Nothobranchius furzeri: one gene and its partners. The protein of the gene in region 3 interacts with the protein of the main gene of each other region in a pairwise test. Links are inferred from orthologs where the notes say so. Each region holds a gene or a part of one and is shown on either strand. Other genes may lie near its edges. The genes, in order: wash1, mbip and exoc8.

Evidence for each region.
Region 1: the proteins of exoc8 (region 3) and wash1 interact in binary tests that used the Homo sapiens proteins (3 or more experiments, as listed by UniProt). The link is inferred for Nothobranchius furzeri from reciprocal best matches to the Homo sapiens genes EXOC8 and WASHC1.
Region 2: the proteins of exoc8 (region 3) and mbip interact in binary tests that used the Homo sapiens proteins (3 or more experiments, as listed by UniProt). The two-hybrid records come from large-scale screens. The link is inferred for Nothobranchius furzeri from reciprocal best matches to the Homo sapiens genes EXOC8 and MBIP.

What each region holds. Positions count from the first base shown.
Region 1 is NC_091744.1:70,581,604-70,592,150, forward strand, and holds wash1 (WASH complex subunit 1), read left to right. Parts: upstream 1-4,798; 5' UTR 4,799-4,962; coding exon 4,963-4,970; intron 4,971-5,667; coding exon 5,668-5,808; intron 5,809-6,107; coding exon 6,108-6,219; intron 6,220-6,290; coding exon 6,291-6,437; intron 6,438-7,920; coding exon 7,921-8,057; intron 8,058-8,150; coding exon 8,151-8,286; intron 8,287-8,385; coding exon 8,386-8,581; intron 8,582-8,672; coding exon 8,673-8,837; intron 8,838-9,000; coding exon 9,001-9,159; intron 9,160-9,276; coding exon 9,277-9,348; intron 9,349-9,430; coding exon 9,431-9,570; 3' UTR 9,571-9,984; downstream 9,985-10,547. Other genes in the region: iqsec3b (IQ motif and SEC7 domain-containing protein 3), read right to left, coding at 1,772-2,268. UniProt on the Homo sapiens protein: Acts as a component of the WASH core complex that functions as a nucleation-promoting factor (NPF) at the surface of endosomes, where it recruits and activates the Arp2/3 complex to induce actin polymerization, playing a key role in the fission of tubules that serve as transport intermediates during endosome sorting.
Region 2 is NC_091758.1:21,133,193-21,143,785, forward strand, and holds mbip (MAP3K12-binding inhibitory protein 1), read right to left. Parts: upstream 6,285-10,593; 5' UTR 6,246-6,284; coding exon 6,126-6,245; intron 5,339-6,125; coding exon 5,222-5,338; intron 5,056-5,221; coding exon 4,876-5,055; intron 4,314-4,875; coding exon 4,217-4,313; intron 3,861-4,216; coding exon 3,795-3,860; intron 3,615-3,794; coding exon 3,456-3,614; intron 2,930-3,455; coding exon 2,832-2,929; intron 967-2,831; coding exon of another isoform or gene 952-966; exon of another isoform or gene 829-951; intron 627-828; coding exon 588-626; intron 509-587; coding exon 401-508; 3' UTR 164-400; downstream 1-163. UniProt on the Homo sapiens protein: Inhibits the MAP3K12 activity to induce the activation of the JNK/SAPK pathway. Component of the ATAC complex, a complex with histone acetyltransferase activity on histones H3 and H4.
Region 3 is NC_091742.1:10,759,133-10,769,582, forward strand, and holds exoc8 (exocyst complex component 8), read left to right. Parts: upstream 1-4,576; 5' UTR 4,577-4,725; coding exon 4,726-5,875; intron 5,876-6,038; coding exon 6,039-6,292; intron 6,293-6,435; coding exon 6,436-6,684; intron 6,685-6,799; coding exon 6,800-7,204; 3' UTR 7,205-7,525; downstream 7,526-10,450. Other genes in the region: DNA-dependent metalloprotease SPRTN, read right to left, coding at 1,670-2,403, 2,493-2,784, 2,860-2,988, 3,083-3,182, 3,568-3,899. UniProt on the Homo sapiens protein: Component of the exocyst complex involved in the docking of exocytic vesicles with fusion sites on the plasma membrane.

The DNA of each region.
Region 1 (10,547 bases), on a different chromosome or scaffold from region 3:
CATCACCTCCCCCACCCCCTCACCTGCCGGCCCAGGCAGAAGGAAAAGCAAACATGAGATGTTAGTTGTCACTATTTTGATGCAGAAGGGCAAAAAATCCACTGGGCCACTGGTGGTTTAAGGATACATTTCAGGTTTTAACCAACAATTCTATTTCCCAACCTTTTTCTTTTTCTTATTTCAGCCTTTTTTTTATTTCTGAAGTTAAAAACCCAAATGTTTCCTTTTTTTATTGCACTACCAGATTCAAGGCCAAGCATGTGTATCACCCGTCACTCTTTCATGCCGAAATTACCATCCCATGTTATGAAACGATTGAGTTTTACCTGTTTAATGCAATTATTTATCTGAGTTTGCACTCAGAGTTTGAGTTTTGTGTGACTTTTATTACCACAAAATCAACTTTTAGCTCAACATCTGTAATTATAGTCATGTTTGCAAAACAAAAGAGAAACGGCTGATTCGTTGCCATCTTGAAATGGGTTACACATGTTGTACTTTCTGGTATTTTTATTAAAAGGTGGTTCTTGCGATATTTTGCTGACAAAAATGAGTGACTTCTATCATTTTAAGCACATATATTGCATGCTGTGTGGTGCTATATGCACTTGGAATGACTAGCCTACTGCAAAACCTGATTTCAACTCCGTATTTGTAAAACTCTGCTCACTTAAGGCGATGCTTTTGTTTTTTAAGCTCAATTTGCTGATAAACCTTGAGTTGGGTTGAAGCCCAAGGTTATTTATTTGTATAATAACATCCAAATTAAATCTCCCTGAGTTCTTCCATCAACATCTGTCCAGTGGTTCATGAAATAATCTTGCTAAGACCACATCCGGTTCCACAGATGCATACAAGTGAAGCCATACTGCAGAGTAAGCTTTTAAAGAGGACAGAACGCTGTGTCTAGAATGGATGAGAGCATAATCTGGGATGTGTAGTAGAAATGGCAATACAATTAATCATTTCTTCTTTCTCCCAGGTATTAATATGTCCTTTTTTTTTTTTTTACATGTTTCTTTTTATGGTGCTCCCCTCAGTGGGGGTGGAGTCCCAGAGAGACCAATCAGAGCTCCTGCTGAGATGAAACTTATATGAGCAGAACTCACATACAGGAGAAAGGAAGATGTAAATCATGGGTTTTCTCTCATTAGGTGATGTTCTGTAAAGCTCTGGTGCCATGCAGGAGTCAGGACTAACACAGCAACATCAGAGACCCGGAAATCCCGTGAGAGTTTCCGAATCCCGTGCTGTAATTAACGGAGAGGCCATCAGCACCATGGACAGTAACTCGAGGTGTCTCATCACCCCCGCGCACTGCTTTCTCAAACTGACACTAGCCAATGCTTTACGCATGCACTCACACGCGCGCGCGCACGCACGTCCTCGCGCAAAGGCCTACAGCTGTTTGTTATGTAATGATCCACTGATCGTGATCCAGTTTCTCATTTAAATAATCCAGCTCTCCCGACGTAGTCCTTACCCGACAGACAGCCGAGAATTGGAAATTTGCAGGCAGCATCTTCATTAATTAAACGCCTCTCAGTCTGTGGAACGCGCGCGTGCACACACGCACTTGATTGCACATAAGACGGATGATGCTCATCGTACTAGTACAATAAAGGACTCCAAATGGGGTATCTCATCCAAGAAATTAATGTCAGAAAAGTCAGAGACTTTGGGGAATAAAATTGAGGGCCTTTTGAGGGGGGTCGTGAAACAGTCATGAACTGAACAAGACTAAATAACCAAAAAAAATCTGTTTACTCACTCGGATTTCCTTGCCAGGGTCAGGGATCGACAAAGGGTTGTTGGGGTCATTGGAACCAACGACCGGCAACTGGGACAACTTCCATTCTCTGTCTCACTTTCTAAAGGCGAAATAGTGGACAGGTCTGCTGGGACTAGCTGCATGTCCCCTGGGTCCAAAGGTTGGGCCGGAGCCGCCTCGATCTGTGCTGGTGTGGCTGCATGGTCCGGCAGAGACCCCCCACCAGTCTTAAGCTGAGGTTCCTGCGGGTGGTGGTGATGATGGAGACAGCTTGGGTCCGGGAAATGATGGTGGTGAAGATGGTGAAGGTAGGGATGTTGTACCCTGACGTCCCTCAGGTGTCTGTTCTCACCGATGAGCTCGTCCACTCGCCTGTCCAGTTCCTCTATCCGAGCGCGCTGGGTCTGGATGAGACTCTGTTGGTTCTGCACGATAGTGGTGAGTTCCCGCAGGTACAGAATCGCCTGCACCGGGTTTTCTAACAAGCTGGAGCTCATAATGTCCGAGGCAAGAGGAGAGAGGAGAAGGAGAAAAAGAGAAGCTGCTGGTCTGGAGGATGGAGGGATGAGTAGGTGCAGATATTTGTGTGAATGAGAAGGTGGATGTCCTTCAGTTATTCTCTCCTCGACTGTGCTCGGTTGTGGATGAAGCTGCACCGACCGAGCACTTCTCCGGTCGCTTCCCTCCCTCCCTCACTCTCCCACTGCGCTGAGTGGTGCTGATGAGAGGAGCCAGATCCAGATGTGACAGGAAGGAGGGGAGGCGCTGGGAGACAGATGCGTCATTACACACAAAGATAAAGCCAGAGTAAGAGCGCACCCTACTGGTTTAAAATGTGGCTGCGGTGTTGATTTGTTTGATATAAACTAAAAATTGCAGTCAGGATTTTTTTGTTTTTGAAGAGTTAAAAATAGCTTTTAATTACCCAAAACCATAAGCAGATAAGCTTTTGTCAGTTTTATAATTCCTGGTTTTGAATGACTAATTAGTTTATTTATGTATGTATTAGTTAACGACAAGGGATGATGAGTGCTTAAAATGATCCCAAGACAAACGAGGTAATACACTGGCGCCCATTTAGTTGCAGAGATTTACACCAAAGAGAAAACACAATTTATGGCGTATTAAACACTGCTAAATTTGATATACATAAACATTGACGGTTCATTTGGATCGATAATAAACAGAGATATACATTTTATTTGAAAGTAATGCAAAAATTGTTTGGGTATCAAATGTTTCAAAAATCAAAAGCATAATATCAGTAAAGGCAAAAATGACTCAAATATCTAGTTTTATGTGCTTATCCAGTGGTTCTCAAATTAGGGTTTGTAACCCCTCCGAGGGGTCCATACAAGATAGCAAGGAGTCCCCACAAGTTTGTCAGTGCTGAGGTCGTGAGTTTACCAAGATTATATTTGTAAATACTAAATTGATAAAGTCTCAGTAACACACCCTATAGTATAATCAAAATTCTGGTGTTACTATAAAGTTTAGAATTAATCAACTTTAATGAGTATATGCGGATAAGGGTTGGAGTTAGGGGGGTCCTGACTTGTCTTGGACCTATAGGGATGGAACCAACGACCGGCAACTGGGACAACTTCCATTCTCTGTCTCACTTTCTACAGGCGAAATAGTGGACAGGTCCTCGAGGAAAACAGGTTGCAAACAACAGCGTTTTTCTTTATTTTATAAAACACTCGTGAATTGTCTTTAAGCCATGAACCATATTTTTCTTTCCTACTCAACATTAAGTCAACAGTACGTCACTTCCGATTTCGAAATTGTTTCAAAATCAAACACATTGCATCCACTTTCTTCTGAATCAGGCACACTTTATTAAATATTTATTCTGCGTCAAAACTAGAGCTTAGTTAACTACATTTTTCTCTATTTACTATTAACCACTTTTGTCTTTTATTTCAACATTTCATTTAAATTCAATTCAATTCAAAAATACTTTATTAATCCCAGAGGGAAATTGATTGCTGTAGTATCTCAGAATAATAATAATAATAATCAAGTCATCAAAGAGTTATTGTATATTACAATGGCTGTTGGCAGGAAGGATCTCCAGTAGCGGTCAGTGTTGCAGCGAAACTGAAGAAGCCTCTGACTGAAGGCACTCTTCTGTTGTCTGACAGTCTTGTGAAGAGAATGCTCAGGGTTGTCCATAATTTTCTTGATTCTCTGGAGAATCCATCTTTGCATTATCTCCTCCAGCGGTTCGAAACTGCAGAAACTCTGGCTGAGTCCTTGAAAGGGCTTGGAGTTCCTCTATCTTGTCGGCCAGTGATCTCACATTGCCCATTATGATCGATGGAAGAGATGGTTTGAATTTCCTCTTTCTCTGTCTCCATTTTGCTCCCGTTCTGCATCAACGCTTCTTGCGTTTTAGCTCATTTGGGATTTGTGGCTTCAGTTGAGGTATTATTTCAGCCTTTCCAATGTTAATCAGCTGCTCCCCATTGTAAACAGCTTGTTGCCATGGTTACGCATCATAACAAATGCTCAAAAAGTGAAAAAGCTAAAAAAAAGCAGTAAAAATCCTCCAAGCTTCACAGCACCAGAAACAGAAGAGTAAAGTGTCCAAAAATACAGTTTTTCTTGAGAAACTAGAAAAAAAATGCCCAAGAAAAGGCAAAACTTACATATAGTCAACAGAGCTACTCCAACATACAGCCACCCAGAGCAGCGCAGTTGGGATTTACGATGCATTTACATTCACAAGTCCAGTCTTCTAGGTATTATGACCTCTGCCACACCACAGAAACCACCGTACTACAATAATCGACTGTGATTCTCTGGAGGCAGGCGGTGCAGATTTGCAACAGTTAAAACCTACCTACCTGGTTACTCCACATATGTATTTCATGAACATTTTTTAACTCAGAAGTACCCCTAAAGGACGTAGTTGTTCATCCTTTTATCAAAACTTATTTTGAGCCTTAGAGGGTTAATAATAAGCACATTAGGTTTGAATTTTAAACTATCCGAGCTACCATGAAGGCAACACCATCGTTTTCTACATGGTCACATGATACAGTGATGCGGAAGTATGAAACCGATGTTTTGCTAGGCTATCTTGTAGTCGATCTGTAAGCTATAACAGACAACTAAACTCCTTTAAACTCTATATTTTCTTCGAGGTTTTTCTCAAAGTGTCTTTAGGAAGAAATCAAAATCCAATGGTGAGGTAAGGATATTATTGTCAGTGCAACGTCGTTATCGGGTGACACCTTCGGTAACCAATATCTCACTGTTTCATTAGTTGTTTTTTGTTTGTTTGTTTTTTGGAGTATATTTCCAAGCAGCAGCTGGCTCACATATGTATTAGCTGTGGTCCATTTTGCTAACTTGAGATGATTAAGCCCGGGAAATAAGAAAAAAGTAAAAGTATTAGTTCTTTGTGAGTCTTCGTCATGTGAGTCAGATGATGGGTTGTTGCTAGATGAACTGTTCCAGTTCCCGTGATGACTTTCTTACACAAACTTGGTATTGTGCTTCTCTTTGTGTCAAAATGGCTTAATTAAGTTTTCTAACCATTTCCATTTTTAAATGACTTTTTATCTCCTGGCTTTCCCAAAAGCGTGTTTAAAATCTCCAAAATTACTGCTTTTAATTGAGTGATTCAGTATTATTTTCGTCTGCTCGATCTGAAAGCATAAACCAACAATTTCTGCTATTTATTTGGGGTTTTGTAAGTTATTTTGACAAATCATGAAACTCTGGCACAGATTTACTGTGTCTGTGATGTTTGATTCACTGCAAGACGAGTTGATTAGTGCTTTTCACCTCATATGTTTCTCCCATAAGAGGTAGTTCCATGTGTTTTGCACGCAGCTGGATGTCTAATCGATTACTAACCTTGCTGTTGCACCGCTGCTTTGTAGGATGACACAGAGGCACTGCCTGGAGGGCCAGGTGTACTCGGTGCCCCTCATTCAACCAGATCTGAGGCGAGAGGAGGCTGTTCATCAGATAGCAGACGCATTGCTGTATCTTGAGTTGATCTCCACTGACATTTTCAGAAGGCAAGCATGTGTGCGCACACATACGTTCAGATTTTTCTGAAAACATATCTATAAAGCTACAGAGCTCCAAAAGAGAGTAATTGGAAGAAAATATTTGGGTTTGTCTTTATAAAGTCTTGCTTCAGGTTGAAAATTCCGCTTCCAGTGGGAGTGATTTTTGTTCCTATGTAAAAAAAAATGTAGTTGGTAAAACATAATCAATGCAATCTTTATGAACGAGTTAAATACACAGTTTGAGACGTATTCAGCTTTTATTTATAGTTTTGTTTGTGTTCTATTCCTGTTGGTGGTGCCTTCAGGGTTTCCGAAAGCGTAGAGAAAAACCGACGCCAGCTGCAGAGCGTTTCTGACCGTATCAGACTAGCTCAGGCCCGTGTTGACAAGATTAAAGGCAGCAAGAAGGCCACCAAGGTAACAGCAATTACCGTTTAAAAATTTTAAAATCCAAGATGAAACAATCCTAATTTGACGCATTTGTTTAGGTTTTCTCCAGTGCCAAGTACCCAGCCCCAGACCATCTTCAGGACTACTCATCTATCTTCTCTGGGGCAGTGGACCCTTCCTCACAAAACCGTCCCCATCACAAGATACAGAATAAACTTCGTCCGTTTGATGAGAAGGCATGGCAGGTGGGATAAAGTGTTCTCTAGATATGTAAATGGTTTGAGTTGCTAACATGTGAATTGATGTTTATGGCCAATTAGATATTTGTATTAAAATGTGTAATTAATGAAGTGGCCATTGAGTTTATGTTGACATTTGATTTTCCTTTTTTTTTTTTCTTATTAAAGTAACACTGACCAGCTTCCTGACCCCCTGCCCTACTGGTTGCAAGTGGGATTACAACTTTTGTAAACAACCCTGCTGCAGCCAATTGTAGCTAGCGCTAACAACGAGCTAGCATTAACAAGAGCAAGCTAATACTAAAATAAACCACCAAGTAAAAAGATCCTATTTGTTGAACAAAAAGTATTATTACAAGTCAAGTAACAAAGCTAGGTCACCATCAGTTTGCAATTATGTAACCTCCTTTAGCTCTCTCTATTGTAGGTCGTGCCAATGTTCTACACAAAAAAGTAAACGTCTTTTTTTACTTTTTCTTGTGTTTTTTTATTGACAATCTGCAAACTGAAAATGCTAACTGCTAGCATAACAGCTGACAGCTGTGAAGCAGGTAAAGAGCTCCCCTTATAGGGCACCTACCTACTCCACCAAACTGTTAAGTGCTGTTTCTGGTCAGCAGTGGGCTGCAGAGTGGTGTTCAGGGTGAAGATGGTGAAGTTTATTACTCACACAGTCACTTAAACCCACTTTTGATGGACTAGCTTAAACTGTTTAGAGTTATTTTAAACTGTTGTTCCGGAGAACGAGGAGAAACTGTAAAATGGCCAAAGTAGATTTTTACGAAGGTGGGGGTCCCATAAAATTAGATAGAAAAAAGAAATTCATATTGATACTGAAATTCTTTAAAAATCAGACATTGTGATTTCCTGGAGTTTTTTTAGCTTCTGTTTCTCACAGTTTGAGTAGCTATGATGAAAATTAGACTCATCTCGTCTTTTTAAGTGGGACAACTTGCACAGTCGGTGTACTGTGTTAAAAGTCGGAGCTCATGAGTCCTTTCTTCATTCAAATCGGATCCAGTGATTGGGTTAGGGTTAGATTTGCAAATTTGTTCAAGCATCGTGCCAAGCAGTGAATTTGTCACCCATTGAACATGCAGGAAGGATATCAGCAGCTGTGTGTCACTTAGCAGGGAAATTGGCTGTAAACATGTGAATGTGTGTGTGTGTGTGTGTACATGCCCCAGCTCAAGCTTTTGCATTATTTAAAGCTAAGCCCGCAGTTTATTTTTTATTGCACCATCTCGGCAAGAAAAGCGAGCATGTTTGCTGCTGTGTAGTTTTTGTTAGCATATGTGTGTATTTGTCAGACTGAAAGAAAACACAAGACAGTTTGCTTTGGTGCAGAAATGTATTATTCAAGAACCTCCAGAATTCGAAGTGTCCTCATTGGTATGATTGTCCGAGTTAGAAACGCTTAAGTGGCGTTGAGACGACGTTTTACAGATCACCCATAAACACACGCTATGTCTTCATCGTCTCCTTCCAGGAGAAGCTAACGTATTTCCCAGTGTGTGTGAGGAATAAGAAGAAGTCTGAAGATGAGACAGAAGAGGGATTGGGCAGTCTGCCTCGGAACATCTCATCTGTTAGCTCTCTGCTGCTCTTCAATACTACCGAGAATCTGTGAGTCAGCATATCGTTTCTGTGGAAACCAACTGTGTTAAGATCAGTCTCTGACTTCAGTTTTGTGCTTGTTTTTATTTATTTTATTTTTAGTTACAAAAAGTACGTGTTCCTCGACCCTTTGGCGGGAGCAGTGACAAAAACACACACCACGCTGGAAACAGAGAAAGAGGGGAAACCCTTTGATGCTCCTTTGTCCATCGCACAGAGAGAACAACTAGAGCGACAGGTGTGTTTTCATTATAAAATCAGAGATTTGATCAAATATTCCTATACAGACTTAATCTTGCTTTTAATTTTTAATTATTATTATTTATTTTTTTTACAGACAGCAGAAAATTATTTCTACATGCCAGATCTGGGTCAGGTTCCTGAGATAGACGTGCCATCCTATCTTCCTGACCTTCCAGGTATCGCTGACGACCTGTCGTACTGCGCTGACCTCGGACCTGGGTTCGCTCCATCAGGACCAACGCAGAACATCCCTGAGCTGCCCTCCTTCTCTCGGGAGAGTACTGCATCAGGTACACTCCGCACACTCGTTCAGCTCATCTTTAATACATTTTATTTTCTATAGAACTCACATTTCCCTTCATGTTGTTTGTTTTGTTTCAGGAGATCTGCCCCAAATAAACTCTCCTCCTCCTCCCCCTCCGCCTCCTCCTCCTGCCCTCACTCCCACAGCTCCTGCTGGAGCTCCTCCACCACCACCACCACCTCCACCACCACCACCACCACCTCCTCCCATAGAGACAAAAGTCGATAAAGTTCCAAGTTCAGGTGCGTCACCTCCGTGTAATTCAGACGAATCAGTGTCAGTAATCAAATCCTTCGTTTCCACCTCGCAAACGCACACCTGATGAATATTAACTCGTTTGCTCCCTTCTTGTAACAAATTGGCCTTCAGGAGTGAGATTTTAACTGCAGTCCTGACTGATTGCAGGCCCGGTGTCCGGCGCTCCGAGCGAAGTGGTGCAGCCGTCAGACGGCCGCGCCAGCCTGCTGGAATCCATCCGCAACGCCGGCGGCATTGGCAAAGCCAAGTTACGCAACGTTAAAGAACGCAAGATGGAGAAGAAGAAACAAAAGGAGCAAGAGCAAGGTATGGGACTCATTACAGCTCATTTATGCTCTTATTTATTGCTCTTAAATGTTTTCAAGGACAATTATTAAAAGATCGAGTTGCAAATATCATAATTTAGCAACTCTTGTTTTCTAGCGGTCAGAGCAGCGTCGAGTGGTGGAGACTTCATGTCTGACCTCTTTAACAAACTCGCCATGCGTAGAAAAGGTGAGACGTTACTTTAGAGTGATTTAACAACACTAATGTTGGAGATTTTATTTGGCTGATGCACCTCCTGGCTTCACTTCAGGTATTTCTGGAAAAGTCCCAGCTGCTGGAGAGTCAGAAGCTCCTGCTGGTACGGGAGGAGCGTTCGCCAGGATGTCAGACGTCATCCCGCCTCCTCCAGCTCCACAAACGGCAACAGACGATGACGACTGGGAAGCATGATGCACTAAACAGCAAACAGGGACTTTTGGGGGGATTTAGCACATAATTAGGACATTTCAATCAACAGGCTTCATGATTTTAATGCTAAATGTGTTCAGTCATTTGTCTAAAGCTGAAATAAACATAAACACACAATAGTTAGAATACTTTATTGATTTCTTAACAGTTTGTATTCAAAATATCACTTTGTTATTTTGATATTAAAACATCTGAGTGAACCAGTCAGATCATTACTAAATGAACAACTGGATAAATGTGTGTAGAAGCTCCTAGTTTTTCATTTCACTAACATTTAAATTATTAAACCCGAAAATGACAAATGTTCCTTTTATCTGCAATGTGCCATTAAATTACTTCCATTCTTAAATTTTAAACCTTGACAAGGAACATTTAAATAAAGTGATAAATCCAAAAGCCTGGTTGCTTGGTGTCTGCAAGAACGCCTTAAAAACACAGCATTTGGAGTTTTGTTGGGAAAGAAACTAGACTTGCTTCTGCTTTTTCTCCAAAAAGAACTGAAGGAAGAAAAAAAAACAAAATGAACTTCGTGTTTTCATCATTTAGCACCAAGTGTTGATATATTAACTGCTTCTCACCTTCCGTAAAGCGGCGAAAGCAGAACCAAATGTCGTGTGTATGCTGGTGCGATCCTTGATCCAAGTGGGAAGCTTTGAGCACGTCGTGGATCGGGAGTAACGTCTGTCACAGAGAACGATGGAGGCGTAGTCGCCACGGTGACGAATTGCCCTTCCTTTAAAGAGAAAAGATCCCAGATGTGTCAACCAGGCTCATATAAATATTCATGACATCTCAGATAGTTGTCGTCATCATCACCTATAGACTGATTGACAGCCTTCATGCAGAGGTTTTCCACCAGAGCTCTTCCAGGGCTTCTCCCATCAGTGTGAGGCTGGAAAATAAAAAAAGTAAAATTTCTCTGTGGGCTCATCTTTTATATTCTTTACGGTTTCTCCTTT
Region 2 (10,593 bases), on a different chromosome or scaffold from region 3:
TGCCTGTAAGGAAAAATATCAGAAAAATCCTAATTTAAAGTATATTTCCTTAATATTGTCTCTAAATGAACAGATTCCAGGTTTTTGAGCAGGAAAAACATTTATTTACACAAGAAATATTTCTGTACAAATGAACAAGATCCCAATGAAAGGTTGTTTAATATAAATGAGATGAAGCGTCAGACTGTTTTATTACACATGCTGGTTTATAAAAACTCCAAACTAAAAGCATCAGTCAGCATTTACATTAATCAGAATACAGACACTGTTGCTGTTTATAGTCTAAGACAAACTAGATCTTTGCACTGGTTTTTACTGGAGAACTGTGATAACAGGTGAGGATAATTAAATAAAGCACATTTAATTCCAGAGTAACACCTCCGGCGTGTCTGTCTGTGCATCAGAGCGAACAATCGGGGCCAAATCTGGGTCCAAACTCACTCATCCTCTTCAGCAGCGCTGCCTTCACCGTGCTGATCTTCTCATCCAGCTCTGTCAGACTACAGGCCTGAAATAAAAACACGAGATCAGCTGAGCTTTCATAACAAAATAATAACAAAAGGGAATAAAAGCAGGAGGACGCAAACCTGAGCAGGAGACATCTTTAGTCGCTTGTGTAGATGTGTCTGAAACATAACCAAACATTTCAACTCAAGCGCTTTCTAAACGGACTCAGAATTCTAAACATTTTATAAAAGAAGCAGAAGACTTAAAGAAATTCTGATTTATTTTGCTCTTGTTTGATATTATCACAATAGAGGCTGTAAACGGAGCTGCGGGGGTTAGAATTCAGGGAACGACCTTGGGTAAACCTGAACTGCCTGAAGAACCATCATTTAATCCCACTGCAAGCACAAAACCCTCCAGTATTCCTTATGGAGCCGCGCCTCGCTTCACTGCCGAGTATTAGAATGTTGTTCCTGAAATCCTGGGCCAGCTGAGTGCAGCTTTTCAGCAAACACCAAACTACAGCGAAAAAACAAAAAAGAGAGAGAGAGGGAGGGAGGGGGATTCAAACATAAAAGACCCCCATCTTCATCCGTTTATTCAAAGACACTCGACATCTCCTGCTCTGCTCACACAAACATGCAGTGAGTCAAAAGCAGATGGAGAGCAGCGCTCTCACAGAAGCAGCGTGCTGTGCTGAGAAATACCAGTATGAAGAGATGCGCAGCAGCTCAAGCACACTTAGCTAGCTAACACACTGGACAGGCTGCTTTAGTTCACTAAATTAGAGTCTGGGACTCTGGTGGGTTCAGCATCAAGTCCAACAGCAGAGCCACACAATGGATCTCTGCAACTAATCGCCATTGCGTCGGACTCATTTGTCCCCCGTGACCTAAATGTGTGTCAGAGACGATCATTAATAAAGGGATAATCCAACACCCCCAGGCTGCAGCTGCAGGTGACAAAAACATTCACTAAATAACTGAAAGGGTTCTTGGGTTCCTCACACACGTCACTGAAACTTCAAACGTGTTCAAAAATGTTTTTGTCAAAACAGATTTTCTCTCTAATTAGAGGCAGATCTGTCGCAGGAAACTGGAATTTGTCTCGATGGGCAAAAGAAGAGAAACAACTTGGGTAGGAGTTTATGTACAAATGAAGATTTTACCTCCTATAGGAGGCCGACTTCTTTCAATGTAACATTTGATTCTATTCAACTTAGACTAGTTTTTTTTCAGAGCCCCGGCTTCAATACCAAGTGTTAAAAAGACATCACGACATAATTTTAGAAAAATATTCATTTCCTTAAAGCATTTGAACCACTAATGGTTTAAAGAGCAAGTCATCCCCAAATCAACTTTTTTTTCTGATAAACTATATAAATGCATGTCTAATCGTGCTGCAGACACATGTAGTCAACAGTTTAGCACTTTAGTGCATCTTAGTTAAAATTTAAATTTTCTGCCTAAAACTGTCAATGTTGTGCCGTTGTCAGGTAAAAACTCTGCACTGCATTTGAATTTAAATCTGCCATCGCTATTGGCTAAGAGGTACCCTAGGACGTTAGCTGGTACCATATGATGTCACAATGTCGTTGTGAGCCTGTGTGCATTTGTTAGTGGCTCCGCCCTCTCTGTCTGCTAGGCAACAGCATTTGTTGCATTTTTCAAACAGGAAGTGGGAGTGAAGTAATACTCTGGTAGGGGGTGACTTGCTCTTTAAGTTCATGAGCCCCAGATGAAAATAAAACAGCAAACCAAAGAAAAGCTCAGGAAGGTAATTAGAATACTTAAACTGAAACAAGAAACTTTGCAATAGTTTAAACTTTTTTGTAGTTACATCAAATACCTCGTGTGACTCAAATATAACTAAAACTTCTCACATAAGTGTAGCAGTTCAGTGGACTCTACCTAAAACAGCAGATATTCTAACTACTTATTACCATAGAAGCTCAAGATCACCTGTTGTTGTCTCTAAACCTAAAACCTGTTCAGACTTAAAATTTGCTTCAGGAATGTTGCATCAATGTACTATATATCTCCCTCATTCCCACATTATCACATTCAAAAACAAATAACTCACATAAGTTAAACCACCTAAAGGGCGGTCCAGACATCGTCTTTTACAAAAAATGACCAATGAAGTAAAAGTTACGGAGAAATGGAAGCAAACTGCTTTAGAGGTAATATCTGTGAACGTCAGGGGAGGCTAAAAGTGCTCCAAGATGAAGATTTGCACAGAATAAAAATCTAAGAGAGCACTGGTTGAATTTGCATTGAACTACATTATGTGAACTGTCATCATTTAAGTTTAGTTTCTAATGCAGATCTCTGTGCTGTAATGTTATCTGAAAAAGCTTTGTGTGTTTAATCCAGAAGACTCACCGTGGACTGAAAGTACTCAGGAGAGAGTCCCTCCAGCTCCAGGATTCGATCCTCCAACGTCTTCAGTCGCTGGTAGACGGTCAGAGGAACCGGACCCACTGAGGAATAAAACATAAATATAATATGTTCCATACACCAGACTGGGAAAAAAAGGACTAAAACAAAACCCAGAAAATAGGGAGAGAAATCATCGTGTGACAAGATTCTCCCCAAAAATATGTACGTAGTTATCATCTGGTGTTTTAAATCAGCCAATATTCAACATGACAAGGTGATCAGTCAACCCAGCACCTGAGAATCAGATTTTCCCCCAGTTTGTTCAAGTTAAAGACAAAAAAAATAAAATCTGTTTTTTTTTTCCTAGTCCATGAACACACCATCACTATCATTGGTTGGTTAGAGTAGTGAAAACTCAGAAATCAGTATCGGCCATAAAAATTAGAATCCGTGCATCTTTGAGTGTGATTAACTCTTTTTTGTGTGACTTAAGAAAAACATCAAGAATTTATGTTCTTGTTGATATTTTATAAAAAAAGGTGCTCATCATGTCACAATATCTATATTATTTGTATTGTACAGTTTTATTCAGGATGTGTGACGCATCACTTGTCTCTCTTCTCTCACCTGACGGCAGTTTCAGGTGAGTCTCCATGTTCTGAAGTCGCTCCTCTATGGCTGCATTTCCACAGTCTCTTGCAGCTGCCCCCCTATGATGCTCTGCAGCCTCTCCCTGGCGCCCCCCGCCACGAGTCTGGGGCCCGTAAGTGTTTACCACTCGTGAAACTGATCAACCAAAGAATAATCACAGACTCGGATGAACCAACCAAATTTTAAATGATGCACATTACAGAAATCACACAGCATCCATGATGCTTGTTACCAAATTGTTAACAAAAATAATTTAGCTAGTGATGATGAGTGTATTTTTGAACGTAAGAGCAACAAAGAGTCCCCTTTTCTTACCTTTAATGTGGCTTTTAAAGCCTGGGTAAGGAGTGAACACGGCGTCCGTCCTGGCACAGCTGTTTTCTACAAAGGAATCAAATCCAAAACAAAAGTGTAATTAGACTTTCTAAATGTAAGAAGAAAATAGTCATAAAAAAAAACATTAGAAATGAATACACCACACTTGAACTGCAACTTCGTCTGATTTCCATTACTGGCGTCACACACAAGCTTTGAATTTCAAACAGCCTGTGTGTCTGGTGTTTTTCTGGCCAGAGCAGGTTGCGTTTCAAGGCCGAGTGTGTTAGCTACTTCAGGCCCACTCTTGGAGCAGTTCAGCCTGACCTCTCGCCTGTGGAAATCAGCTCTCTCCCAAACATTGGCAATCTGTGTGCAGCCTCCCTCTCCACCCTGCCCCCCAATCTCTCCTCCGTTCTCACCCTGATTGCAGTCGATCACGTTGCAAAACTCGCGCACATTGTTTTCATTGATCTCCATCTGCTTGCATTCCATAAATGCAGATATTCTTCGCTCGATCTGGAGTTACAGAGAAGACAGATAATAAGACACAACGGGTTGATGAGCCACTGATAGCTGTGAAGAATTCAATGTTTTGTCGACTTATTTTTACTGATTTAGAGTAAACAAAGTTCAGCGATTTATGGTTTCAAAAAATATCAAACACAGTGAGAGAAATTATTCCAGATAGCCCAAACAGTTGAATAGATTATCGTCATCATGTGATGGAATAAGAATACGGTTTGCCTGGCTACCAAAATAAATGCACAACAGAATGGGGCCTCTTGTCCTTCATCCACATGCAATCTCAGAGTAATGAGCATCCACTTCATAATCCATCAAGGACCTGGCCCTCTCTCAAACCCCTCCAGCAATGTGGTCCATTCTACCCCACCACAGCACTACAGAACCCTTTATTCTCTGTCAAACCCAGTATCAGAACTCCATCAAGCATTTGCTGCACATCATGTGCACATCCTTGGAACCAATTACTTATGATTATTCATTTGCTTGACAGAGTGTGAAGGGCTCTAAAATATCAGTGCCAGAACAGCTGACAGATCTGTTGACAATGACCAACCTCTGACTTCCCGGCTCGGATCTGAACCATGACGTCATCGCCCGAAGACCCGCAGTCTGCAGCCTCTGAGCTGTGACGCCGGTGCTCGGATGATAGTGACGTGACAATGTTATCCGCCGTGTCTTCCTTCACAGATGTAACATCAGCTTCCACCAGTGACCTCAGGCTTTCTGAAACAGCCTACAGCCAAACAGAAAGAACACTGACTGCTACAAACACATTATAAATTAGTGTTATTATTTCTTTAATTACAACACTAGTGACCATCAATTATACTGTAAATGTGGCACTTATTAGATATTGCAGTCATATGTAACATAAATTAACCAACGGGTGAATGTCTTACCTGCAACTTAGCAATGTGCTGCTGTACACAGCCATAAACACCTGCTTCTGAAGATGACGAAAGTACTACAGCTCCAGGGTTGACCTCTATTCTCAAAGCAGCATCCCCTAATTTCAGCTTTGAGAGAAAATAAACAAGAGTTTCATCAAGTACACATCACCACAGCTAAATAAAAAATATATAGTTCAAAATAGTAGAGGCAGAAAATGCTAAATAATTTAAGTAATTTAACCAACAATTTGGTAATTAAAAAAGAAGCAATTTTTCATAATTTGCTTCTATAAACGGTCAAATTAAATAATCTTATTGTTTTACACTGAACCTTTCTGCTGTGCTAGAAAAACTAAACCATTATTTAGCAAAAAAAAACAGTGTATATAAGACTGAATACATATATTTAATGTCCCTTTAGAAGCCCTGGGTATGAAAAGAGCTAAAGCATCCAGCAATTTTAATAATTTAGACGTAAACACGGGGGGAAATAGAGCAAGGTTAAATATATTTTCTAAGGTAGAAATGCGTTGTGGACAGTGGCATCAATAAACGTTTACCTGCAGGACCAAAAATTACATAATACTGCGTAAAAATGCCAAAAACCGTGAACGTTTACTATATGGAAAAAGAGGGTAAATGAAAATAAGCGTGATTTGAACCTAAACTGACGTGTGACACAAAAGTCTGGACATGTTTTTATTGCACAGAAATACAAATATTAAAACTGAATCTGTTAATTTAGATATAAACCATCGAGCTGACGCTTTCCTACGGCAAAAACTTGATTAACGGACAGTGAATGAACATGAACCGACGAGGCTAGTTGCTAAAAACATTAGCACACCGCTAGGAAACTACTCAGACTGGAATGACTATTCGGAGCGAAGCAGCTGAATCATTTCACACCAACCTCTTTCCCAAAGTCTGAAAGCAGCCCCAGTATTGCGTCCATGCAGTGTTTGTAACTGGACATTTTAGCTGGTTCGCTGGGAGGAGCTTTGCTCTCACTTAGCTTCGTTGTCTCCGCCATTGCTACTCAAACTCATGGAATACTGCGTGCTCATTGGTTGCGAGACGGTGATTTTAATCACGTGGTTGGTGGAACTGCAGGCTAAAATGACGCATGCGCATTAACAGTAGCGCATGAAAGTAAATTCAAAGCACAAAAATAAATGATTTACTGTGTTTTGCTCAGAATTTTGATCTTTAAATAGATTCTGAAACATTAAAAAACCTGTATAGTTTTTTTTGTTTGATCCTAAAGAGGGCTCATCATAGGTAGAAAGATGCTTTTGTTTTTGTTTGTGGAGATTTAATTTCTAGAAGGCTCATTCAGAAAGCAAAAGTCAACTTTTACTAATTTAAACTATTTAATAAACTAGTACAGATGCTTAAAATTGTGAAATATGTTTCAGTATAACAAAAAAGTAAACAATAGTTTAAAAAACAGCAGAGAAAAATAAACAGAAAATGTTTTAACTTTTGAAATGGACATATTATTTAGGTTCAGTATATTTGTTTGCCTTTTCTCAGAGGATGCTCATAAGGTCATGTCTTATTTGTATAAAGCATATAAAATAAGTTTTATTCTTAAAAAACTACTAATGTTTTTATTGTGCTGATTTTTGAGGTGCTTTATGACTTAAACTCTTTTTTAAATCTTGGTTTAAATGGACTTGTCTACATTTTTACAATACTGACTGACATGTCCAAGCCACATTTGCCTACGTTTTCATTCACCTGCTTCTCAAACAGCACAAAGAATGGCTCCTTATTATAAGCACACTGTGCTTCTTACTGCAGAGGACCAAGCAGCAGGGCATTGGGATGGGAACCTGCCCACAATGGTGTATTTCTCTGAGTTGAGTGACTGTGGGAAAATCTCCCTTCTCTATTCAGACATTTTTCACTTCTTTTCATATAATGAAGAGAGAGACTGATGAAGGAAACAACAGAAAAAGAACAATTACAGGCAAAGAGACGGCACAACCATGCACTCAGAACTCAATAATGCTCTTTAGAAAGGTTAATCATTTTAGGAAGGGCTCTGAAGATAAGCCTTTTTAGCTTAATTCATTTGTAGGGTGATATTTTTTCCCGTGAAACAGGAAGAGAACTGTAACACTTGACATGGTTTGACATGCTGAGCAGTTGCTAAATGTTCCCACACAGCGAGGAGCTCTGAAATTAAATACACTGCTCATTTAATTTGCCTGGCTGCAGACCCAAGAGCTGTAATTTTTTTTACCCTTTTAATGAGCTGTATATGTGATTTAAGGTACTTCTTGGAAAATACTTAGAGCATTTTGGTTGAATTTAACTTTTGAAGCCAAATTGCAGATGCTCATTAGCTAAGGGTCTGACTTGATCTTTCACTATCTTGTTAGTTGAAAAATCATAAAGAACAGAAGAGGTAATACTTACATCATCATATATTAAATTAAATACCAATACTTTGTAATTGCATGTTTTAATCGGGAATTTCCAGGTCGTGCCATCAATTGAACATAAACAACCATTTAGCTAAATGTATTTTTCATTTGCATATGTGCAAATAAATACCAGACAGTCCAAATTTGGTGATGTATTTATTTGAAAACAGCCTTTTTTTTATATGCGAATACTTTTACATATGACTCGGTCAGCAGCAGTCAAAGAATGCAGCTTCAGTCTACATCTTTATTTCCTTCAGCAATTCAAACACACACATAAGACCCAATTTTCAGCAATAAAAACAAAATGAAACATAGAACAGACATTATTATGATAGCCCAGGAACGTGCATGTCAAGCATAACAAAACATAGGAACAATATGTTAATCAGTGCAGAGCCGAGGGTTTTTCCACAATCCTTGTACGTTTGAATAAAAGTGAAAATAGCTTCAATAGGTGAGATTTTTCAGTGATTAATAGATGCAACAGTGAAAATGCAAATGTGGTGACAAAATGGTTTGGCCCACTTTAGTGTAAAGGATAAATAAATACAGGAAAATAAATGAATTACACCAAACACAGCAGAAGAGGTACTAGAACATGTAAAGTGTGAGAAACTAAATACAAACGTGAAAATTAACCTAATCTTTTCAAACAGAAGTTGTGTGTCCTGAGTCCCCTTCTGTAGACATTATTTGCTCATGATTGATTTGCTCTGGTGTTCGTATCAAAACATTTTCAGAAGGAACTGCTGTTGTTGGTTTGAACTTCAACATGGATGCGTTTATATAAAAGTTCTGAATTAGGATAGTTTAAAGAAGAAGAAGAAGAAGAAACAGAAGAAACAATTTTTTATATAGCGCCTCTCAAAATAAAAATCACAAGGTGCTTCACAAGAACAAAAAACAAAAGGTAAAAATATCATAAAAAATTGAGAAAAAAGAAAAAAATGATCAAAACATGTGAAGGAAGAAAAAAAATGAACAAAAAAAGGTAATCATGGGATCATGAGAAAGGCCGATTTGGTAGAGGTAGCAGCAGGAATAGAAGCTAGTGAGGAAAAATCATCTGGAGGTCACACAAAAGCTTGAACAGGTGAGTTTTCAGCTGCTTTTTAGAGGAGACTACTGAGTCCACTGATCAACCTTAAGCTAGCTGCTATTGGAAGGGTGATCTCAGCATCAGCCAATCATGAAGAGCTTAAATGTACGCCCACCAATGGTGGGCACCCCTGTAAGTGGAGCGACTCCACTGTTCGCCTCCGATGGCTCTTGATCCTAACAGAACCAGTGGGGCCATTTGCTTAAGGGCTGCGACTAGACTCATAGAATCTGGGGTTAGAATATGTAACCAATGTTCTATTTCATCTAGTCTTAGCCCTTAAGCTAGCTGCTATTGGAATAATGCGCAGCTGGATGGGTTTACGCCACACTGGTTAGCTCAACCAAATGGACACACCCAACATGTCTCCTTTTAGCGAGGGTCGTTCAGCCTCAGTCCAGGGCTTAAAAGGCTGAGGCAGCCAGAGAGAAGAGTGGGGCTCCCACTAAAATATCATCCACAAGAGGATGAAATTCATTCAAGTAGGGCTGATGTGGTGCCATAATGCTTTTACTCAGCCTGCTGAGGTCCAAGCACTGAACGAATGATGGATCCATGAAGACACATCTCGTAAATAATAACGAGTAAAGGAACAGGGTGAAGCCAATGAAGCAGCCTAACAAATGTCTTCCATCGATACACCACAGTGGAGCGTCATAGAAGAGGAAATCCCTCTGGCTGAGTGAGCCCTGAGTGTCTCAGGAGGATCCCGCCCTGATGATGTGTAAGCGAGTGAAATGGCGTCACACAGCCAGTGTGAAAGACGCTGGGTCGACAGCGCTTGCCCCAGGGAAAAATCTCTGTAGTGCACAAACAGGCTTTGTGAGCGGCAAATCCCTGAAGTGCGTGACACATATCGTGCGAGCGCGCGCACCGGGCAGAGAAGGAGGGAAGCCGCCTCCTCATCAGAATTATGGGGAGGAGGAAAAAGTCCAGCCAATGAAACTGACCTGGGTTTGAAGGAAGTATTAATGTTTTTGGGCACAAAGGCTGGGTTGGGGCATAAAACAGCAGACCCACCATCTTCCCGGATCCTGAGGCATGCGGGAGCCACTGAGAGGGCGGTTTGGTCGCTCACTCTCTTGACTGATGCGAGTGCCAGCAGCAAGGCAGTTGTAAGTGACAGGAACTTGAGTGAGACCTGGTCCAAGGGTTCAAATGGGGCTTCAGACAAGCTGCGCAGAACCACCGTTAGATCCCACTGGGGAAATAGCGGGCGGAACACAGGTCTGTTCCTTCTGACACCTTTTAGAAAACGTTTTGTGAGGGGATGATTGAAAACAGATCTATCTCCAAAACCCTGGTGACAGGATGAGATAGCTGCAGCATATGTTTTAATAGTGCTGAATGCGAGGCCCCTGTCCATCAGTATCTGCAGAAACGATAGGACATCCGCCAGCTGGCAGGAGAGCGCTTGAACATTCCGTTCTGTGCACCACTTTTGGAAAGCTGCCCATTTAGCAGAATAAGATGTGACGGTAGAAGGTGCCCGCGCACTCTGAATCGTGGCGACCACATCATGCGGCAGCCCAGAAGCCTCTAAGCGTGACTGCTCAGCCGCCAGACCCACAGCCGTTGGCCTATTTCTGGAGGATGTTTGATTTTCCCATCCGCCTGGAGAAGGGCGTCCGCCCTCCACGGGAAGCCGGACACCAGCGCTTATAGGTCTGGGAACCATGATGCGGAAATGCGTCTGGGAGCTACCAGAATTACCGAGAGTTGTTCCGACCGAACTTGGTCCAGGAGTCGGGGAATCAGTGTGACTGGCGGAAATGCATATAGGAGCATTTGAGGCCAGGGCTGGTGTGAGAAGGCGCCCGCACCAAGCGGGGGGGGGGTGGTCC
Region 3 (10,450 bases):
CGCATCCTCATATTCATCATCCTCACTGGCAATTGAGATCAAAGGATTAGACGTACGATGGCACCCCGCTGGGTTGCGTGTATCTGTAGCAGAGTTTTGTTAATCTGCTTGGCTAAAAGCACAATAGCTCTGCGTCAGCGTGTTAAATCCTCCTAATAACGGTCTAAAGACATCCGTTAAGTCTCTGCTGCAAAGGAAAAGCTTCTCAAAGCCCAAACAGTTCCAGTAACCAGGTGGACTGGTGTGCGCAGGAATGCAGCAATGCATTGTAGAAATGTACGTATTTACTGGTCCTATTGGTAGACATAGATGGGCCCTACGTGGGCTTTAGTTTCATTTTCTTGTTGCTACAGCTGAAGGAGAAATGCTGCATTGAACTTGGAGCTGGTCTGGGATTCGTCTGTCAGGGAGAGACAATGGGCAGGAAGCAGGATGGTGTGGGAGGTGGGGCGTCAGCCTCCTGTGGTACAGCCGGTCAGGAGAGAAAACAGCTGCCGTCAGTGACGGGACTGGAGGGGGGCACAGGAAACAGCTCCGAGTTACAGCTGATAACATCTGAGGAAAAAGATGAAACGTCAGTAAAACCCAAATAAGGTCTGGTGTCAGGACATCTTTAGAAGCTCAAGTGACCATATTTGGAGGTGATGCTTTAGTGGACCAGAAAAATTCATCAGTCCGAAAGACTGCATGGGAGGAAATCTGGCCAATGAGGCATCAGGATTTCCATCCAAAGGCCAGTGGCTTTGCTCTCGTGTTAAGTCTGGTGATCATTCTAGAAAAAATGTAATAAAACCTTTTCAAGCTTTCTGATTTCAAATTAAAAAAACTGTTTTCAGGTGTTTTCTTCTTTGACTCGTTGATCCAGAGCATCCACAGTTGACAGCAGAGCCATCTGTGCCGTCGCACCATTCCTCTTGCTCCTGGTTCAGCTCGTCTTTTCAGTGGAGTCTGAAGGGCGTGGTCCAAATCAACAGCTGGGCCTCGTGCAGTCTGACCTCTGACCTCACCCACCAGTGAATGGGATCGGCTGTACTTAAGCCTCACTGTGGTCACAAGGGTAAAGGCCTGGATATTAAAAACCCATCAAAAAACTAAACCTAAATGAAATTGGATCAGAATATTCAGGTAAAATGAGCAATAAAATGGTTTTATTTAGTTATTAAAATCTCAGCATACAAATAAACGAACAAAAACGATCACTCTACATCTTTCTGTTCCAGGTCTCACATCACTGATGAGATCTGTGTGTGATCAATAACTCTGCAGCTGAGTCCAAGTGAAGGTGTACAAAGCAAAAAGCAAACGGAAGTGAAATGTTAGCAGCAGAGATCTGTCCTCTGGAGGAAGCATCAGACATCAGAACCCAAAATAAACCCAGTGACCTTCAGAAGAACTCTACTCCCTCTGCAAACCTCCTACACCTCAGACAAAGAGGGTCTGACTACATTATAAACTTATTTATTCAAGTAGAAACCAGCTTTAAAAACATTTTAACAAAACCCTGCTGTTCTGTAAATGCAGTTGAGGCACAAGCTGTCAGAGAGCCACTTGAGTTAGAAAATACCTCAATATTACTGTCAAGTGACAAAATATCTGTTAAACTAGAGATTAAAGCACAAAACAGACATCTAAAACTTTGGTTCGTAAAACCATTTAGTTTAAAAGTCCTTCAGAACAGGCAGGAATCAAGATGCTCATTTATCTTTGACTCCTGGACTTTAGTTTGGCACACGGGACAGCTGACCATCAGCACGTTGGCGGCGGCGGAGGGCGTGTGCAGCCCTCCAGGGGGTTGAAGTGATGTGGAGGAGCTGGAAGCTGCAGTAACAGCTGATTTGGTCTTTTCCTGCTCCCTTGATGATGCTGAACTGCTGCTTAATGTCTTGTCAACAAAATCAAAAATGGTGGCCGAGCTGCTGCAGTCATCCCACAGCCTCTCCCTGGGCGCCTGACCTTGGCTCGCTGCCCCAGGTGTGTCGACACCGACAGAGGAAGAATTTGGAGACATTGCCGCTCTTTTAGTCTCTGAGCCTGAGGGATGGCTTGTTGACTTTCTGTGAGTTTTGACATTGAAGAGATCGTGAATGGACCTCTGCTTGAACGCGTCGGCCCCGTGACCCCCAGAGCTGCTCCTAGATTTAGGAATTTTAACAGGTGAGCCGTTAATGTTTACAAAAGCTTTTGTGTTCCCGACAGACGTCTTTGCAGGTGGCTTTCCCCCTGAGGAGGCAGCTGCTCCACTGGAGACGGTTTTGGTTTGGTCAGGAACGGAAGACTTCTTAGGAGTGGAGGCGACGCTGGACGGAGGTGCTGAGGGAGATGTGGAGGTCTGGCACGTCGCTCCTAAGAGGAAACCTTTCCCACTGAATGGGATGATGTTCCTTATATCCTGAGATCCAGAACCTGAGCAGAAAGAAAGAAAGAAATGTTTTTGTATTTGGTCCTGATGGCAAATCCTGAATAAACTACTTAAAAAAATAGAAAAACTTCACCTTTACTTGTATTTAAAGGCTTGCCAGTACGTAAAGTCTTCTCTGAGGTGTTTGCATCCTTCTTCCCATCTTTTTTGCCTTTTTTCCTGTATCCTTCTGGCTCTTTGATCTTGGTGTACGTCCCGCCACACATCCTTTGATGATCCTCCCACCAAGGGTCCAGAGAAGATGGAGCTCGGTTGATAGCCCTCTTCACATAACCAAAGAAAGGCCTCCGGCTCTGGCAGGGCCCATTGCACCTCCACCAGTGCTGCCTGTAGACATCGACCTCATCATGGAAGCTGTGGTAGATCTGACCGAGGGACAAGAGGAGATTGTTATCGTAAAGTCAACCAAAACCACACAGAGCTGAAGGAGAAACACTTACTGTGATTTTCGTCCCACTGGCCTTGTTGATCCTGTTCATGTGTTTGCAGAACTCAGGACCGTGGCCTTCTCGGTCTCGGTTGTTCTGGGTCACAAACAGCAGTGCATGAATCATTTCATGAAGGAGAGTCTGTGGAAACAATCAAATTAACAAATTATTAGCAATAATCTGGATGAGGATTTTCTGTCTTTAAGATCCACTAATGTAAAGTGACCCATCCCACCTCCACCAGGTCTTTTCTGGGTCTCAGCTTCAAAAGAGGCTCACTGAGCCGGATGGAACAGAGTCCGCCTCGGCCTTCGTAAGAACACACACCAGCACACCTAGGTACGGAAACACACAGGAGGCATTTTCTCAAAACTCTGTTATTCCTGTAACACAGCGCTGGAGTGGAGGACATCAAAACAAGAAACAGGACACATTTTATACAATAGAGAAGGCCTTAACATTGCATAGAAGCACAAGGAAACCATAATAGAGCTTCATGAAACTGGACATTTTTTGCTTTTTTAGAAATTATGTTTGACATACTTTGTGTCAGATATTTAGTGGTACCCATTTGTTTAATCTTTTACCTTATTTTTCTTCAATAATGATGTTTTTCCAAGCATCTCGCGCTTTGTGGCTACCATATTTGAATCCCAGTAAAGCCAACAGTGTTTATAAACATCCCTGCTGTAGGAAATCTGGTGAACAAACAAAACTTACAGTGTCATTCTGGGGCTCCACTTCACCTCGACTCCGCTCAGTTTCCCCCAGAAGAACAGGCTATTAAACTCCAGAAACATGGCCCTCACATCTGGGTTTGGGTCCAGCATCTCCCAGGACTCATCCACGATGCTCAGGGGTTTCTCAGGCTCGTGACCCGGCTTCCAGGAGGGGACAGCAGCGCTGCCACCTCCGGCTGCTTCCACTTTCCGTCTCTTACTGCTTTGTTCGAAGTAATTATCCTCGAATCTATTTGATGAGGTTAATGACGTCTCGTACTCATTATCGAACTGCTCCTGTAATTTAATGGCAAGCAGGAAATCCGCATCCATGACATCAGAAGGCAGCTGTGCTAGCTTGTTAGCTGACTTGCTAATGTAAATAGCACGAAGTTCTGGAACAAACGACGTCTGCAGCCTAATTATAAAATCAACCTTTCAGAGAAACATCGGTAAAAGGACTGAAGTCATGACTTTGAAAGATGAATCTCATCTTCTTGTCAGCCAAAGGTATCTGTAATAATAGTCGGTCTGTCCACAGCTCGCGCCAAACAGCAGGTTTGCTACATGTACTACATTACAACGAGTCTCTTTCCGTATGAACTTCTAAATAAAAAACTACTTCAAACTTAATTTCGTGTTTGATTTGGCTTTCCCCGCTTAGTTTTGTATCTTATTTTAATCAGCAGATGACTAAAATTAGCTTGTTTAAACGCTGTTGAAAATCTGTAATGTTTCTGCAGCTACCGTAAACTTCCGGTAGGTAAATAGTTGGACAACAAAACACCTATTCCGGGTGTTGTTCAATAGCCCAGTAATCAGTAACAACTGCAAAATAACAACACACAAAAAGCAAAATGAGTAAATAAATAAACAGAAGCTTTAAAATAAAAATAAAACATTGTTTGGTTTACCTGAAAGATCAATAACAATTTTGTTCTGAGTTTTTGTTGATCATCCTTTTTGTTCTCCCTTCTCGTGACGTTCATGTGACGTTGACAACCCGGGTGTTGGAGAAGCCAGATCCTTTTGGGGTGTTGACCTGTTTTCAGCTTCCTGTGTTTGTTGACGTGGATATGAAGGCGCTCGTTCTCTGTTTGCGTTTCTCGTCAGTTTGTTAACAGTTTTGCTTAATAAGGAAACACGCAGACAACCAAAGATGTCGGAAACCGGGAACCGACTTCGGAAGCTGCTGGAATCGCCCAACTTCGATCCACAGAACTACGTCAAGCAGCTGTCACAGCAGTCGGATGGCGACAGAGACCTTCAGGAGCATCGTCAGAAAATTCAAACTCTGGCTGATGAAACGGCCCAAAACCTCAAGAAGAACGTGTACAAGAACTACAGACAGTTCATCGAAACGGCCAAGGAGATCTCCTTCCTGGAGAGCGAGATGTACCAGCTGAGCCACATCCTCACCGAGCAGAAGAGCATCATGGAGAGCATCACTCAGGCCTTACTGTCCACAGACAAGGACGAGACCTCCAAAGAGATGCAGGCAGCGTTCCCCAAAGAGACAGAGGACCTGAAGCAGAGGACTCTCACCTCACTGCTGGAGAAGGTGGAAGGAGCTAAAAACATCATGGACACCCCAGGGAGACACCTGGTCTACAATGGAGACCTCGTGGAGTTTGATGTGGACAACATGTCCCCCATCCAGAAGGCTCATGCTTTCCTGATGAATGACTGCCTGTTGATTGCCACCTGGCTGCCTAACCGCAGAGGCACAGTGAAGTATAAATACAATGCCCTGTATGATCTGGAGAGCTTTGCTGTGGTCAACGTAAAGGACAACCCTCCCATGAAGGACATGTTCAAGATTCTCATGTTCCCAGACAGCCGCATCTTCCAGGTGGAAAACAGCAAAGTCAAGAAGGAGTGGCTGGAGATCCTGGATGAAACCAAGAAAAAGAAAGCCTCCCAGGACAAACACAAGAAAGAGGAGGAGGTCCCCACCTCTCCCGTGCGAGCCGAAGTGTCCAACAACCCTTTTGATGTGGATGACGACGAGCCGGCAGATGCCGAGGAGAGTGTGGACCTCAGTCTCGAGTGGATCCAGGAGCTGCCCGAGGACCTGGATGTGTGCATCGCTCAGAGAGACTTTGAGGGTGCAGTGGACCTGCTGGACAAGCTGAACGAGTATCTCAAAGACCAGCCTGCGACCCAGACGGTGAAAGAGCTGAAGGCGAAGGTGGATGAGCGTGTGCGGCAGCTGACTGAGGTCTTGGTGTTTGAGCTGTCTCCTGATCGGTCGCTTCGTGGTGGACCTAAAGCGACCCGGCGGGCCGTGTCCCAGCTCATCAGATTAGGTCTTTATTTGTATTAATAAGATCTCACAGACCATTAAAATGTTGATTTCCCAAAACCAGTAAACATTTCAACACAAAGCCAGAGTAGTCCTTGGAGAATCCATGCCTGTAACAATTTAAAGTTATATTTCCAACAGTTGATGATGTCATTTCTGTGTTTCAGGTCAGTCCACCAAGGCTTGCGAGCTGTTCCTGAAGAACCGCGCCGCGGCTGTCCAGACGGCCATCCGGCAGCTCCGCATCGAAGGAGCCACGCTGCTCTACATCCACAAACTCTGCAACATTTTCTTCACCAGCCTGCTGGAAACTGCCAAGGAGTTTGAGACGGACTTTGCGGGGAACACGGGCTGCTACTCTGCCTTTGTGGTCTGGTCCAGATCGGCCATGACGATGTTTGTGGACGCGTTTAGCAAACAGGTCAGCAGAGGCTCAGCGATGTCCCTAACATGAGTCAAGAAATATGTTTCGATCATTATTCTTGATAAAAAAAAAATCAAGATCAATTATTGTTCCAATTATTTCAGAAAATGATTCAAAACGGCCAATTTTCTGTTTTCCAGGTGTTTGACAGCAAGGAGAGCCTGTCGACAGCAGCAGAGTGCGTTAAAGTGGCCAAGGAGCACTGTCAGCAGCTGACGGAGATCGGCCTGGATCAGACGTTCACGCTGCAGTCGCTGCTGGTCAAAGACGTCAAGGCAGCCCTGCTGAGCTACAAGAACATCATCATTGAGGCCACAAAACACCGGAACTCTGAGGAGATGTGGAGGAGGATGAACTTGATGACCCCTGAGGCTTTAACTAAGCTCAAGGTCGAACAGCCTTCCTTAATTCCCAATTTTGTGTTTGTTTCTTTTGTTTGAAGAAGAAAACTAAAGAAAATGCGGGTGTTGAGCAGCATCTAAGGCTTTTCTCTTCGTCTTGCAGGATGAGATGCGTAGCTGTGGGATTAGTTTCCAGCAGTACACGGGCGATGACTGCTGGGTGAACTTGAGCTACACCATCGTGGCCTTCACCAAGCAGATGATGAGCTTCCTGGAAGAGGGTCTGAAGCTCTACTTCCCCGAGCTGCACATGGTGCTGCTGGAGAGCCTGAGGGAGATCATCCTGGTGGCCGTGCAGCACGTCGACTACAGCCTGCGCTGTGAGCAGGACCCCGAGAAGAAGGCTTTCGTCCTGCAGAACGCCACCTTCCTCCACGACACCGTGCTGCCAGTGGTGGAGCGGCGGTTTGAGGAGGGTGTGGGGAAACCGGCCAAACAGCTGCGGGACCTGAGGAAGAGCACGAGGCCGGTGCGGATCAACCCAGAGAGCACCACATCCTTAGTCTGAGGCCGACAGGAGCTTCGACGGCTCGTTTAACAAACCGCGTGAGACTGAAACGGCGGCCGGTGGCCACTCCCCCCTTCCCTCCCTGTCATTTCACCTCCCCCCTCAGACCCGATCCACAACACTAACTACTGGGTGTTTAGATGCTGCAGGAAGGAAATGATGGTAAAATGAAAGAGTCAGTGATGACACAGTCGGACGTTTTATTTAAAGTTAAATTTTCCTGCTGCAGCTTGTTTAGTTCTCAGTTCTTCGGGTTAATAATCCATCATACAAAACGCTTCAGTCCAATGAAAGAATAAACCGACCTCTGCTGGTGTTTGACCTCGTTTACGTGAATATTTTATCTTACAAGGGATTCCTTATGTTAGCAAAACATCTGGTTTTAGGAACGTTTAAACGCGTCAAAATGATTGTATTTTTATTGTCACGTAAAGCTTAAACACACGAGCATGTGACGTGGGGATGACTAAAATTAGCACTCAGATATTCTGTTAAATTGTGGTTTTTGTCTGCAACCAGTAACCTTGTTAAACATACTGTTAGTCTTTTTTGTTTTTAGTATAAATGGGAACTGCAAAGTTTTTTTTTTTGGGGGGGTTGAAATGGGTCCCATTTATTCACACCTGCAGCTTATGCATGCAAATCCATTCAAATCCAATAAAACATGAAGGTTGCTGTTTAATTTTAACAATAAGAAGAACAGAAAATGTAATTTGCAATAAAAACTAAAGTTTAAACTTCACAGAAGTTTCTTTTTCATGTTTTTTTTCTTTCAGAAACTACAAAGTAAACGTTTCTGGTAAAAAAGATCAAAGGTTTAGTGGTTTGAAACGGCATCCTTATTTACAGCTCTTTCATTCCTTTTTGCTCACCTACTAAAAGTCAGATTTAGATTTTTTTTAAGCTTAACGCATTAATTTATGCCTTTGTGTGAATGGCTCACTGTTTATGACTGATTATTATAAAAGTAAAATAAAAATCACTCATAACTGATAGGTAAAGTATAAGTGAAGTGTTATGGGATCATAATTGCTCAAATGAAACTAGGGTTAAAAAAAAGGCTTTTAATTGTATTTCAGTGCCTGATTACGAATCCTAGCAGTGAGATTTGTCGCCCTCTTGTGGCAGAAAAATAGAAATTAGGCTTTCGTTGCTAAAAATGCACAGCTTTACTTTCAATTTTGTGGTTAGTCTGCTAAAAAAACAGCATTATTTATTAATTTGGAGCAACAGGGGGTTTAAAATGATGTAGAATATTATTAATAATAAAGAAACAATATTATTTTAAGCTATAAGCACTAAAATGTCATATTCGTTAACTTACTTTTCTAACTATCTATCTATCTATCTATCTATCTATCTATCTATCTATCTATCTATCTATCTATCTATCTATCTATCTATCTATCTATCTATCTATCTATCTATCTGTCTATCTATCTATCTATCTATCTATCTATCTATCTATCTATCTATCTATCTATCTATCTATCTATCTATCTACATATATATATATATATATATATATATATATATATATATATATATATATATATATATATATATATATATATATATACATATATATATATATATATATTAGTTCAATAGATATTTTTCAATTTTAGTTTAAAACATTTAAATTAATTTAAAATATGAGATTCAAAACAATTTAAAGGGTTGAAAAGCTACATTTAAAGATTAAAGAAGGAAAAACCTGTGCCCACAGAGAAGGATCCTGCTGTGAGACGGGTCTAACTTGTACTGAAATGGCCTTCCTAGGGTTCTACAACCACCCAAGGCGCTTCACAACTCAATCAGTCATCACCCCTTCACAAACGTTCACACGCTAGTGGGGATGAGCTATGATGTAGCCACAACTGTCCTGGGGCACGCTGACAGAGGTGAGGCTGCTGGGCACCGGCACCACCAGTAGGCGAGGTGGGTTAAGTGTCTTGTCCAAGGACACAACAGCAGCATTCTCTGTTAGAGCCAGGATCGAACCTTCAACCTTCCGATTGCTGGACAACCCTCCCTGCCTCTCGAGTTACAGCTGTATTATTTTATCAGAAATAATTCCCCTTCAGAGTCATAGGCTCAGTGTGGTGCTTTCAGGCATTTTCTCTCTGCTTTGCAGCTCATCTCATTAAAATCCCTGATATGATGAAGTGCTCGAGGAACGCCTCGGGTGACGTCACTGGTTTATTCCCAGAGAACGAGCATCAGGGTGGTGAGATTTTCTGGGAGGAATTCAAATTCTGAAAGAATATGAAGTAAAATTCATGTCATAAACATCAGTTTTTTTATTACTAAGACTTATGTATGCAGAAGTTTGAGCACTTGAGGAAACACTTCTCCATATGCTGGTGAGGGTTCTCAGTCATCCAGGCCATGGTAATCCCAAAGGTTCAAAAGGCAGCTGGACTTTTTTGGTTTCTTGAAGAAGTTTCGCTTCTCATTCGAGGATTTTTTTGTCAGTTCTGAGGTTCTGACTATAATACAGGAGGGTCATGCTTATAAACTGCTGTCTGTTGTTTCTTAACGAGCTGAAACAACACACGAATACCCCTTCTCCCTATTCCCAGAGGAGTCTTGATGTCATTAAGACCTATTGTGTCAGAATGATCTTTTTGATTAGATGCGAGAGGGTGCGACTGGTTTAGAGCTGCAGATCTCTATATCTGATGTTCACAGTTGATCAAAGTCCATTTTCCCAGTAAAACCATCACTTTCTCACGTTATGGTTATCGTTAAGTATACTGGGTAGATCTTGGTTATGTAAGTTAGCGCTAAAATGACCCTTTGCAGGGTGAATGAAACGTCTCTCAGACAAAATGTGGCCCCTATGGCCTGATTACCGCTCTTGCAACTTCAGAGTTGCATGTCTGATCCCAGTTGGTCTGCGCAAAGAGGAACTGACAGGCTTGGAGCTAAAGCATTGATGCCAGCATCAATAGCTCTATGGTAGCAGAGGTGCCAGTAAATGCTGTAACATTACAGAGAAAAGGGTAGCAACATAGTAATTACTAAAATATCGTCATACATTTCCATCAAACCACTTCTGGCCTTAAAGCGTCCATATAAAGCATCAGGATTAGTACCTTCATCATAAACCTGCTATTTGCTTTATTTTAAGTGTCTACTGCCCCCTGGTGGAGGGTCTACACATGGCAAGGAACTATTTAATATCTTTTTTTAATTGTAAATAAATAAATGTTATTTGTATAGCACTCATCACAGACAGAA